2 linked regions of the Schizosaccharomyces pombe genome follow. The protein of the gene in region 1 purifies or fractionates together with the protein of each later gene. This does not show direct contact. Each region holds a gene or a part of one and is shown on either strand. Other genes may lie near its edges.

The links. Proteins that work in one complex are often made in the same cells at the same time.
Region 2: the proteins of atg43 (region 1) and mim2 purify together in Schizosaccharomyces pombe (affinity purification with western blotting; one study listed by BioGRID). This does not show direct contact.

Annotation. Positions count from the first base shown.
Region 1 is NC_003424.3:5,220,615-5,228,556, reverse strand, and holds atg43 (mitophagy receptor Atg43), read left to right. Parts: upstream 1-2,507; 5' UTR 2,508-2,585; coding exon 2,586-3,320; 3' UTR 3,321-3,948; coding exon of another isoform or gene 3,949-5,373; 3' UTR 5,374-6,754; downstream 6,755-7,942. Other genes in the region: Smc5-6 complex SMC P-loop ATPase subunit Smc5, read left to right, coding at 1-2,151; uga1 (4-aminobutyrate aminotransferase (GABA transaminase)), read right to left, coding at 3,949-5,373; SPOM_SPAC19D5.10C (uncharacterized protein), read left to right, coding at 6,838-6,846, 6,916-7,170; RNA NAD-cap (NAD-forming) hydrolase/RNA pyrophosphohydrolase Din1, read left to right, coding at 7,279-7,942. UniProt on the Schizosaccharomyces pombe protein: Mitophagy receptor that tethers atg8 to the mitochondrial outer membrane to promote selective autophagy.
Region 2 is NC_003423.3:1,162,042-1,165,385, forward strand, and holds mim2 (protein mim2), read left to right. Parts: upstream 1-2,128; 5' UTR 2,129-2,276; coding exon 2,277-2,451; exon of another isoform or gene 2,452-2,467; intron 2,468-2,638; exon of another isoform or gene 2,639-2,800; coding exon 2,801-2,844; downstream 2,845-3,344. Other genes in the region: telomere cap complex subunit Stn1, read right to left, coding at 1-624, 779-877, 933-1,041.

The sequences.
Region 1 (7,942 bases):
AGACCTTCGGATAACGGTGTTCAAGATCTACAAGAAAAGATGCAAGAAGTTAATGCGGAAAAACTTCAACATGAAAACGAGAAACTTGAGAGCTCTCATGAACTAGGTAGTATCAGAACATTGAAAGCACAAAAGCTTATTGACCTTGATAACATTAAAAGAGAGTTGTCCTACTACAACGATGCTACGAAAAGGAAACTAGACTTTATGTCTTCTGCTCCAGGCTGGGAAGATGCTTATCAGACGTATCAGTTATTGAAGGAATACGAATCTGCGTTTGAAGCACCCGCATACGGCCCAATTTATATGAATTTGAAATGTAAGGAAAAAGGGTTTGCAGCTTTGATAGAAGGGTTTTTTCGCACGGATACGTTTCGAACATTTATAATGTCAAATTATAATGATTATCTAAAGTTAATGGATCTTATCACTTCAAAAACTAAGTACACTCCTACTATAAGAGAATTCTCCAGTGAACGAAAAAAGAAGATAGAAGATTTTGAACCTCCATGCTCTCGTGAGAAGCTTCAGTCTTTCGGGTTTGACGGATATGTGATCGATTTTTTAGAGGGGCCAGAAGTGGTTTTGGTTGCTTTGTGCCATATGTTAAAAATTCATCAAATTCCGATTGCAAAAAGGGAACTACCTCCCGCATCAGTGAATGCGTTAAACAATTTTCGTCTGGCTAACGGGGATCCAGTTCTTAAAACTTACTTGGCGGGCTCATCTATCCACTTGGTTTTTCGTTCAGCTTACGGTGATAGAGAAATTACTAGGCGAACAGACCCATTACCTTCTCGCAGTATATATTTTTCCGAGAACGTTGAGATGGATTTGGTAAAGCGAAAGGAGGAGCAACTAAATGCTCAACTCTCTCAATTGGAAAATTTACAGAATGAGGAAAGAAAGTTACAAGAAAAGGTAAATGAGCACGAATCGCTGCTTTCTCGTACAAACGATATATTATCTACTCTACGAAAAGAGCGTGACGAAAAATTAATTCCTATTCACGAATGGCAACAATTACAAGAAAGAATAGAACACCAAACTCTTCTACTAAGACAAAGAGAGAAAGTTCCTGAGCAATTTGCAGCTGAAATTGAAAAAAATGAAGATATCAGGAAAGAGAACTTCGAAGCTCTTATGAATTCGGTGTTAAAAGTTAAGGAGAATTCAATTAAAGCTACGAATAATTTCGAGAAGATGTTGGGAAGTAGACTTAATGTCATAGAAGCGAAATACAAACTTGAAAAACACGAGATGGATGCCAACCAAGTCAACGCTCGATTGACAGAAGTACAAGATCGTCTTAAAGATATTACCGATAAGTTAGCCTCAGCAAGGGAGGATGCTATGTCCTTGTACGGTTCAGTGGTTGATTCATTGCAGACACAATCATCTGACAGACAAACGGCAATAACTGAATTAAATGAAGAATTTGCTACTAGTTCGGAAGTGGATAACAAAATTAGCATCGAAGAAACGAAACTGAAGTTTATGAATGTTAATAGTTACGTTATGGAACAATATGATGCGCGTAAAAAAGAAATTGAGGAACTAGAATCGAAAATGTCAGACTTTGATCAATCCGTTGAAGAGCTCCAAGACGAGATGAACTCAATCAAAGAGGATTGGGTTAGTAAGTTAGAGGAGAATGTTCAATGTATTAGCGATAGATTTTCTAAAGGAATGAGTGGAATGGGATATGCTGGAGAAGTTCGACTAGGGAAATCCGACGATTATGATAAATGGTATATCGATATTTTAGTACAATTTCGAGAGGAAGAAGGACTTCAAAAACTTACGGGTCAACGACAATCTGGTGGAGAACGTTCTGTATCTACTATAATGTATTTATTATCTTTACAAGGTTTGGCAATTGCTCCGTTTCGAATAGTTGATGAAATAAATCAAGGAATGGATCCTCGAAATGAACGAGTTGTGCATAGGCATATCGTCAATTCAGTGTGTGACAACGCTGTTTCACAATACTTCTTAGTCACTCCAAAGTTATTACCAGATTTGACATACCATCGAAATTTGAAAGTGCTATGTATTTGTAATGGTGCTTGGTTACCAGCAACTTTTAGAACATCCCTTTCTACCTATTTTGAAAAGTTAAAGAAGTCCGCACTCATTTCTTCGTCATAAATGCTACATTACCATATTTGTCTTGTTGGCATACTTTTTCTTAATTTTTGATATTTGTTTTGTCCGATGGTGTTTTGTTTACTAAAGAATTTATTTTATGAGTTTTAAAATTTTGCATACGAAGTTACCCGTTAGTCATTTCGTTCCTTAGAGTCACCGAAAATTTGACCGTTAGATTTAATAAATTAATAATATCATTATCTTTAATTATTGCTTTCAGCATCCTGACATTTAAAATGTTATATCTTTATTGCTTAACTTATTCAAAAGATACATGTGCCCTTAACGTAGTTTTGTGTAATACAATTATCGCGCAACACCGTAGATGTGGCGCTATCGGGAATCCATATTAACGTAAACAACAAAGAATTGGGATCATTCTTGTGCTTACCCATTTCTGTTCATTAGACATTGATTTTAGAGAAGCTTTATTAATGTCTTCTGAAAGCAAAGGAATACCAATTCCCCGCTCTGATTCTAACAAAACCAGCGACGTTAGTTCGTGGGAAGAAGATTACGAATTGATCAGCTTAGGCTCCAGTCAAGACGCTTTGCAAAGATCAGGCATTCGAAGTGCTCATGGAGATTCAGGATACGCGTCTTCTCCACTGCGAATGGAACATTTGAGTTCATCCACTATAATTATCAATAATCAACTAAAGAAGATAGACGTGAACGAAAGTATTCCTGAGAACTCAACGTTGCATAACAAGTATGAACTTGGTGCTGTAGAGAGCTCAACAAGTTCTCTTAGTTTGCTCCAGAGTAAAGAAGAAGATGATAGCAGTAATTGGGAAACTGAGGATTCAGAATCTGCCGTCGAAGAGGCAGAGCTTCCCACTATATTCGAGGGAAAAACAGTGATATCTCCTAGTAGCTCTGGTACGGATCACAGTGAAGCTGTCGAATATACTGTTCCTACAGCTCCCCCAATACCGGACTTGCGATTCCAACAGTCATATCTCCAATCTATTCAGCGTGCAAATGGGTCTGCCTTTTTAGTTGCATTAATTACTCTTCGTGATCACGTTCTATATCCATTTTTAAGCGGAGGGATGTGGGTTTTTGTTCGCCATATTTTCCAATTCTTAAAGCTCCAAGAGAAAGGGTTTCACTTTGGCCAGTCGCTTCGCCGGAATCTGGGCTTGTTTTCTACCTTCAAGGATTAATCCACGTTAGATTAAGTGTTATAGAGCTATCCAATTGCTCTCATCAGTTTTTTAGTTTTCTTATTTCCTTTGTAATGGCCCTATTCTATTGATATGAATTTTATAAGTTTTTTTAACACCAGTCATTTCCCCCTTTTTGTCTAGCACACTTTCATGGCAAATGATTTTTTTAAAGATTAATGAAATTAAAGCAAATGTGTTCTAGTAGGTTTGCCAACCGAGCATCGTCTCAATTCTTGGGTAACAACTATAAATTTGTTTTTTCCACCTTTTGCTGCTAATTAGTTAGCATTTACGGCGTCACTTTTATTCCAACACTACTTCATTCTCATTGCCAAGATAGCTAGCAATATAATCAGTCCTAACTATTAAGCTACTATATCACAATTTCAATGTTTGATAGAACGATTTGTTTTTCTCTTCATACAGCGAACAAATTTGTATCTGATAGAAATCATATATTTTTGACTATTATGATAAAATTAACTAATATTAAACTACAAAACAAACAGAACAGCAATATCGGCCATCCAAATTTTAGTTGACATAAATGCGGAATAGGTGTTCATGGGAACAAAAAGTGTGATCTTTCTTTTTTTTTCTGTTTTTTTACAAAAAAAGGGAAAATTTAAATCAATTCGTCAATCTTCTTGAGAAGGATTTGAGCATGGTGCTTTTGGAATACAAGCATAGGACGAAGACGAATAGCAGCTACACCACAGCCACCAATGTTGACACCATTAATTCTCATGTCAGCACAGAATTTGTCACGGGCTGCAGGAGACTCACAATCCCAAGCGATAAAAGTACCCTTTCCCTTACCGCGGAGGTTGTTGATTTTGCCAGGGTGCTTACGAGCAAGCTCTTCAAGTCCAGCATACAAGAAATCGCCAACAGACTTGACGTTATTAAGGAGATCCTTGTCTTGAATTTCTTGAAGAATATATCTAGATTGAACAGCACGGAATGGGTCACCCATCCAAGTATTGAAGTGCTGATAAGCATGAGGACGAAGAGCCAAATCATGATAGAAAATACCGGCAGCCTGGAATTTCTTGGAAAAGGTAACCATGTCAGGAGGATAGGGTAAATTCCATTGCTCGTGAGCCCATAAAGTACCGGTAGAGCCGACACCAGTTTGGACTTCATCGACGATAAACTTGACATCATGCTTCTTCAAAGTAGCTTGAAGCTTGTGGAAAAAGTCAGGAGAGGCATGGTTGTCACCACCCTCAGATTGAATGGGCTCAATGATACAGGCAACGACAGGGCAATGGTGGTTAGTTAAAATTTGCTCGACCTGGTCAATGCAGCGTTGCTCCTCCTTTGCATTCTCTTCGACGTGCTCTTCCAAAGGATACTTCAAAGCAGGGAAATCAGCTTGAGGCCATGGGAAAGCAGGCATACCAAGCTTGTGAACAGGCTTGGAGCGAGTAGTGGAAAGAGAACCAAAGAGACGTCCGTGGAAAGAGTGACGGAAAGAGAGAACAGCAACTTCGGGAGATCCAGGAGCAGCGTTGTTTAAGCAGCTCTCGTTCTCTTCAGCAGTGTAATCACCAGTAGGTCTAGGCTTGTTGTTGAAATGATGAAGCATAGCAAGCTTGTAAGCAATCTCGTTGGCATCACTTCCACTCATTTGAAAGTAAACATACTTTTGACCCTTGGGGGCATATTTGATGGCACCCTCATAAGCGACACGAGCCCATTCCTTAGGAGGGTAATTTCCCAAAGCAGGACGGTTCATTAAAATGGTAGCGACTTCGTCCGACTTGGCAGCCTTGAGGAGAGTAGGATTGTTGTAGCCAATGGGGATAGTAGCGATTTGAGAGTAAACATCCAAGAGAACGTTACCATCCAAGTCGACAAGATAGTTACCAATGGACTTTTCATAGTCTACAGGAAACTTGACAGCGCTGATGTCGTGGTATTTGGACATTTCTTCAGCAGCGGCCTTACCTTTGGGACCGGGAATAGTTTCGGTCTTAATGCTAGGGCCTTGAGGCTCATTGGGAAAAAAATGAGTGCTTTCAGTAACGGTGGCAGTAGAAGACATGTTGAATAGAAAAGTATAGTCTAAATGGAGGAGAACCTTAACTTAAGGCAGTAGAAAGTAAAATTAAAAAAATAAAAATAAAAAATAAAAACAAATGTTTACAATGAAACTCTTTTGCTAAGTTCTATGCAAAAGCAGGAAAAAAAAGAAACAAAAAAACAAAAACCTCAAAATGTGAATGATAATACTTTGTTTTTTAAAAAAAGATGCTGTTTTCGTAGGAAATCGCTTTCCTTTTATAATTCGTCTCGCACGACAAATTTCCAACTTTTGATTGCGGATTTTAACCTTCTCAATTACAATCTATGCTCGGGCAACATTTCCTAAACTTCCCATATCCAGCTCGCTAAGCGGTGATAGATAAAAAATGTGGTCGGTACACTTGGCCATCGGCAACCGATACCAATTTGCAAGGCAAACGATTTTCTATGGGGATATTCGGATGATCGAAAGAAACAATAGACGAAACTCATGATTTCATCTGCGACTTTGCATCCTTCAGAAGGTTGGCAAAAACGAACATCGAGGTATCATTGTAGATGTAAATGAATGTGCATGGACAATTCTGATGAATATGTTCAAAAAATTATCAATCACGATGGGCAAAAGGAAAAAATTTCACGGAGATAGCAAAACGCTCGGATTGCCTTTGAAAGGATGAGTGGAAAATAAATCTTTAGATTTTTATTAAGTTAAAGAGAAAATCACTTTTTTTATCAGTTGGGATTGAAACGTTTGGGACAAACGGTAGGCGGTTTTAGCACAGGTGGCCAAGATATGCATGCGTATAATTTAGATTTTTTCATCTTTGACATTAGCGATACTAAAGCGTTTCGATACGAAAACGTTGCGATACAAAAACGTTAAGAATATTGTTTAACTAATGGTTTTTGATCCATGGGTTTATACCACATAGTCAATTAATAAGTACTTGTTTTCAAAGTGTCACAAAAACATCTGGGATATTAAGAGTGAATATGAGGTGGAAATAGTAAATTCTAATGCGTCCCCTTCATGAAATACATTTCCTTTTCTCTTTCAAAATTACCCTACATTTGTAGCTTCTACCAAATTACTTTTCTAATAACAAATCGTTTGTATTTCTCTTTCCTTTGCTTCCCTGTAGAATAACGCACTAGGGGGGTTTGATGACACGCTATATAGCAATTTATAAGTTATTGTCTAAAATGTTTACAACCATTCCTCGTTTGATATTTGACGAAAGGTTCGACGATCGCTTCAAGTCACTAACACTCCATAATTTAGCTTGACCAAGCTTGATCAATCTTTGGACTGATAATTTTTTGATAATCTTAGGTTAGCGTGAATGAATTGCGCGTCATAATAATAAGTTAACGTGATCAAAGGGATTGCAAATCACCACTTAACATATTAAAACTTGTAATCCTAATGTATATTTACGTGCAGTCATTGATATTTGTTATATAATGATAGCAGAGCTAAATGTACACGGTATATAAAATAAAGATAAGAATGGTAAAGCACATAAACTAGTAGATAACGTTTTACATTAATTTTTAGTCAGCGTCTCTTTTCTTTATCCAAATTGTAATTAGCATTTTCAATAGTCATCTTGCCGTATTGTATTCTATCGCATTGTGTTATTCGGTACAAGGTAGAATCTTAGGTAGCTCCACCACCAATTTCGTGCACGACAGCACAATTGGTGTAAAATCCAGTTGGTCGAGACATTTAATTCATGGTATCAATATCTTTTCTTTTTCCATCTCTCTTTTTCTAATATTTCTGACTATTCCCTTGTTTGACATTGGGTAAACCACATCTGCTTTTTCTCTTTGCACTCTTTACCATAATATTCCAAGTCTATGCGTACATTGCTGTTGAAATCTTTGAACTTCATTCAGTTTTATTTCGTCGTGCTTCATGCTTCGTGAATTTTCGTTTTACGATGTGCCTCCTGCTCACGTGCCACCGGTTTCGGAGCCTTTGGAAATTGCCTGTTATAGTTTATCGAGAGATCGCGAACTGCTGCTTGATGATAGCAAGTTAAGTTATTATTATCCTCCACCGTTATTTTCCGATCTGAACACGGGATTTCCTAATAGGTTTCACCCTCCTAAATCCGACCCTGATCCTATTTCTATTGTAAAGGACGTGCTCATGACTAAAGGCATTCAGATGAATTCCAGCTTTCTTACTTGGCGTGGTTTAATTACAAAAATTATGTGCGCTCCTTTGGATCCCAGAAACCATTGGGAAACTTATCTGGTTATGGATCCCACCAGTGGAATTATTATGATGGAAGAGCGAACTCGATCGGAAACTAGTTATGCCAACCAAGACCGAATGTGTTACTGGGGTTATAAGTTTGAAGCCATTTCCACACTTCCGGAAATATGGGATGCTTGTTCGAGAGACCAAATTGAGCAACGTGACAACCAAGATGTTGTGCCCGACGAGCAGTATTGCTCCATTGTCAAGATCAATATCGGCAAGTCAAAATTGATACTCGCAGGCGAGGTCGATTGTATTTGGGACAAAAAGCCCTGCAGTGCTAAAGAAAGCGATGTTCATAGTGATGATGGAA
Region 2 (3,344 bases), on another chromosome or scaffold:
TTTGAACCTTGTGGGCTTCGAGAAGACCACTTGCCATCAGAGGAATCACAAAGCGTATTATGTCTTTTGAAGTGACAAGCATATAAACTGAATTTGACTTTCTCACAATCCGCCCATGTTGTAGTAATGTTTGCAAAGAGAAATTAAGCGCCAGTATGTGATTTCCATCACAGTTCTCTACTATTTCATTTTCGACGTTGAATATATGAACAAGTGGGAGGTGCAACTCTTTTGCTTTTAAATAAATAATGAGTTCTTCAATTGTAAATCCAGCTTGCACATTTAATTTACACATCTGCCTTATGCACTTAAGTAACTCCTTCGCATGATCTTTAGGAAAATAGGATTTCTTGGGTGTGCGAATGATTGAATGGTGATTTTTAGAGATTTTGGTTAAATTTTTTTTGTATCTCATCCTTTTCTGCCATGCCTTCCATTCATCATTTGGATCACGAAGTTCTTCAAACGACTGAGCAATTAATTCAACCTCAGATCGGAAAGAATTTATCTTTCCAAAGACACAGACAACATTTCCAGGAGACATAGATATTGCTCTTTTTGACATTGAAAAATCATCTTGAATAATAAACACGACACGCAATACCATCCCGCTACAATCATCCACTAAATTCAGTTAGGAAATAGAAAAAAGGGAGCTATAGAGGCAGATGCTTCTCAAAAGTTGATTTTATAAAAAACCTTAACTAGATTCAACAACTAAATGAGTCGTGTATGCAGTAGTGGAACTGCTTATTGCCTCAATGCTGATATTCGTTACCTGTTAAAACATGCTTTCCTTCATAAATATCAATTGCCGCAATATAGCCAACAATTTGAATCCATCTTATGGGAAATCCCATCCAGAAGCCAATGTATCCTAGATATTTGTAAGAATCACTTTGTGATATTTATTTTACAGAAAGAGCACTTACGCTGTAAATGTGGATGAAATGAAATTTTATGAACATCGCTAATAAACATGGGGTTCCATCTTGATAATGTAGGAAATTGATGCGTTAGTTGATTTTCATTTTCTAGCATTTATTAGGTCATTCCCTTAAAGACTTTCAACCATATGATTTGCAATTTTTCAAGTATATAAGTAAATAAAAATTAGTATGCTTCTGGTCAACTATCAACAACAATCGCAGCGTTTTCGAAAATTAAGCAATGATTTGGTGTTTGTGAAGTCTTCATCTTCCTGAGTGCGCGTAATAAGGATAGAGCAATTCTACGAGGATAATAACTATTTAAGTTTCTACAGTAAGATTAAAAGGAAAAAAAATATCTTAACTCTTTATTAGGACATGCATTGATGCTGTTATAAAAAATGCTAATTGACTAAACAACTTTATCAATTGAATTTAGTCTGGTTTCACGCAACTTAGTTATAATTGAATTTGAGAGAAGATCCTAAAAAAGACGTCTACTGACAAAAAGTGAGAGTACAGAATTCGTCAACCAATTTTGTAAATGTCACACCAATGTGCATTGTTTATATCTTGCTAAATTCTAGCACACAAATTCCTATCTTCATATACCGGATAATTCTAAATTATATGATTTATTTATGAATAGGGAATACGCAAGGAGGTATGAAAACCAAACTTCTTCAGTTATTGATGTTTCACATTCAACTGTTTTGAAGATAAATTATATTGCTCCTACTGTGTTCGATCAAGAAACCTCGTGGAAAAATGCATTCTTTAAAAGAGTAACTAAAAAAAACCAAAACTCCCAACTTTTTTTTGTTTTATGTTTATAACGGTCTATCAATTCTTCAATAAAGTGTTACCAAACAAAGCACTTAGAGGTAAGGATGGCAAAAATAAAGGCTTTTCTTAGGTCGAAATATTTGTTGTGAAACAAAGGGTATCCGCGAATAGCATGACAGCGGCTGTTCTGCTCAGCTTTCATCTGAAATTGAATAAACTAGCAATACCAAGAATACAAACAATGTACCCAAACTCATAGGTAAAGCATATAGAAACAAATAACCTCTTATCATCAGTGAATATGAATTATTTTTGCTGAATATACTCCCTGTTTTCAAAATTTAGTCTCACATGATCAATGTTGTTTCGACAAATGTCCTATGTATAAATGTAACAGCCACTATGTGACCTTCACCAGAGCCATACTTGGTAATAATACACTTTTAAGCATACGTTAAAGGGGTTTCGATTGCTGACAATAGAAAAATTTTTTAATTAAATTCTAAATACAACGTTGCTAGTTCAATCGAACTATTCTAAAGTCAGTTTAGTGAAAACAACATGGCCGAAGTTTTAGATCTTGAAATTGACCCAATTTCAGATGGAGAAGATGATACCTATTCTAGTGAATTGGATGATGATTTAAAGGATTCCATTGAACAATTGGAACGAGTTTTATGTTTGGTGGTGTTCCCGTTGTTAGGAAAGTTTCTTGGTCGTAAATTCGCATTTCATGGTAAGTTAGTATAAATTAAAGGAATAGGAATAGATGGTGGATTTTTTTTATTTGCTTTTAGTTTCTCAAAGAGGAAATAAGTTTTGCAAATAATTGAATAATAGAGCAAAAAAATCCGTTTTTGGAGAAAGATTGAGCACAACTGATTTTCTTATTCCATCAGCTTGAATTATAGCTTTTTCTTCCTATAAACTGTTTTTAAATGGTCTGCTTGTTGGTCTACATTTACATCTTTCGTTATTTTTTAAACATTTTTGTTTCCATTACTGTTCTATTAGTCTTTCATTCTTAACCTTTTCTACATCCTTAAACTTCTGTACATTTATTGTATACTAACCCTTGGATTTAGCATGGGCTCGCTGGTTAGAACGGAGGCGCTTGGTTAGTAATTAAAAAGATTTATTTCTGAATCTTCTTACATTCGCTGGTTTAATACTTATTGTTTCTGTTTCTATTATGATATTGTGTGATGAAACCCATAGTGTGCCATTCGTTCTCGGATGAAATTCTCTTTATGATCTGAATAAGAATTAATGAATATTTGATTACTGTATAAATCAATGTACTCGACATTTATTAAATTGTAACGGTTTTTGAATCCGAACTTCAAAAAAAATTGGAAATGTGTGTATTCATCGTTTTGCTTATTGATACTATTCATTATTTTTTCCTTTCTTTTTGTTCAAATGAACAAACTGTTTAGTAAAAATGAGACATTTGCATCTACGACAGCCTCGACATATTAATAAACGACGTTAATGGGGTGACTATTAGTAATCTATGTTCCAGTATTATACCTGCCTCATCAGATAGTAATTTCATGACTAAAATTAAAAAATTAATTAGAAATCAACATTTCTAGAACCTTAAGTATTAGATCTGTTGATTCTGTA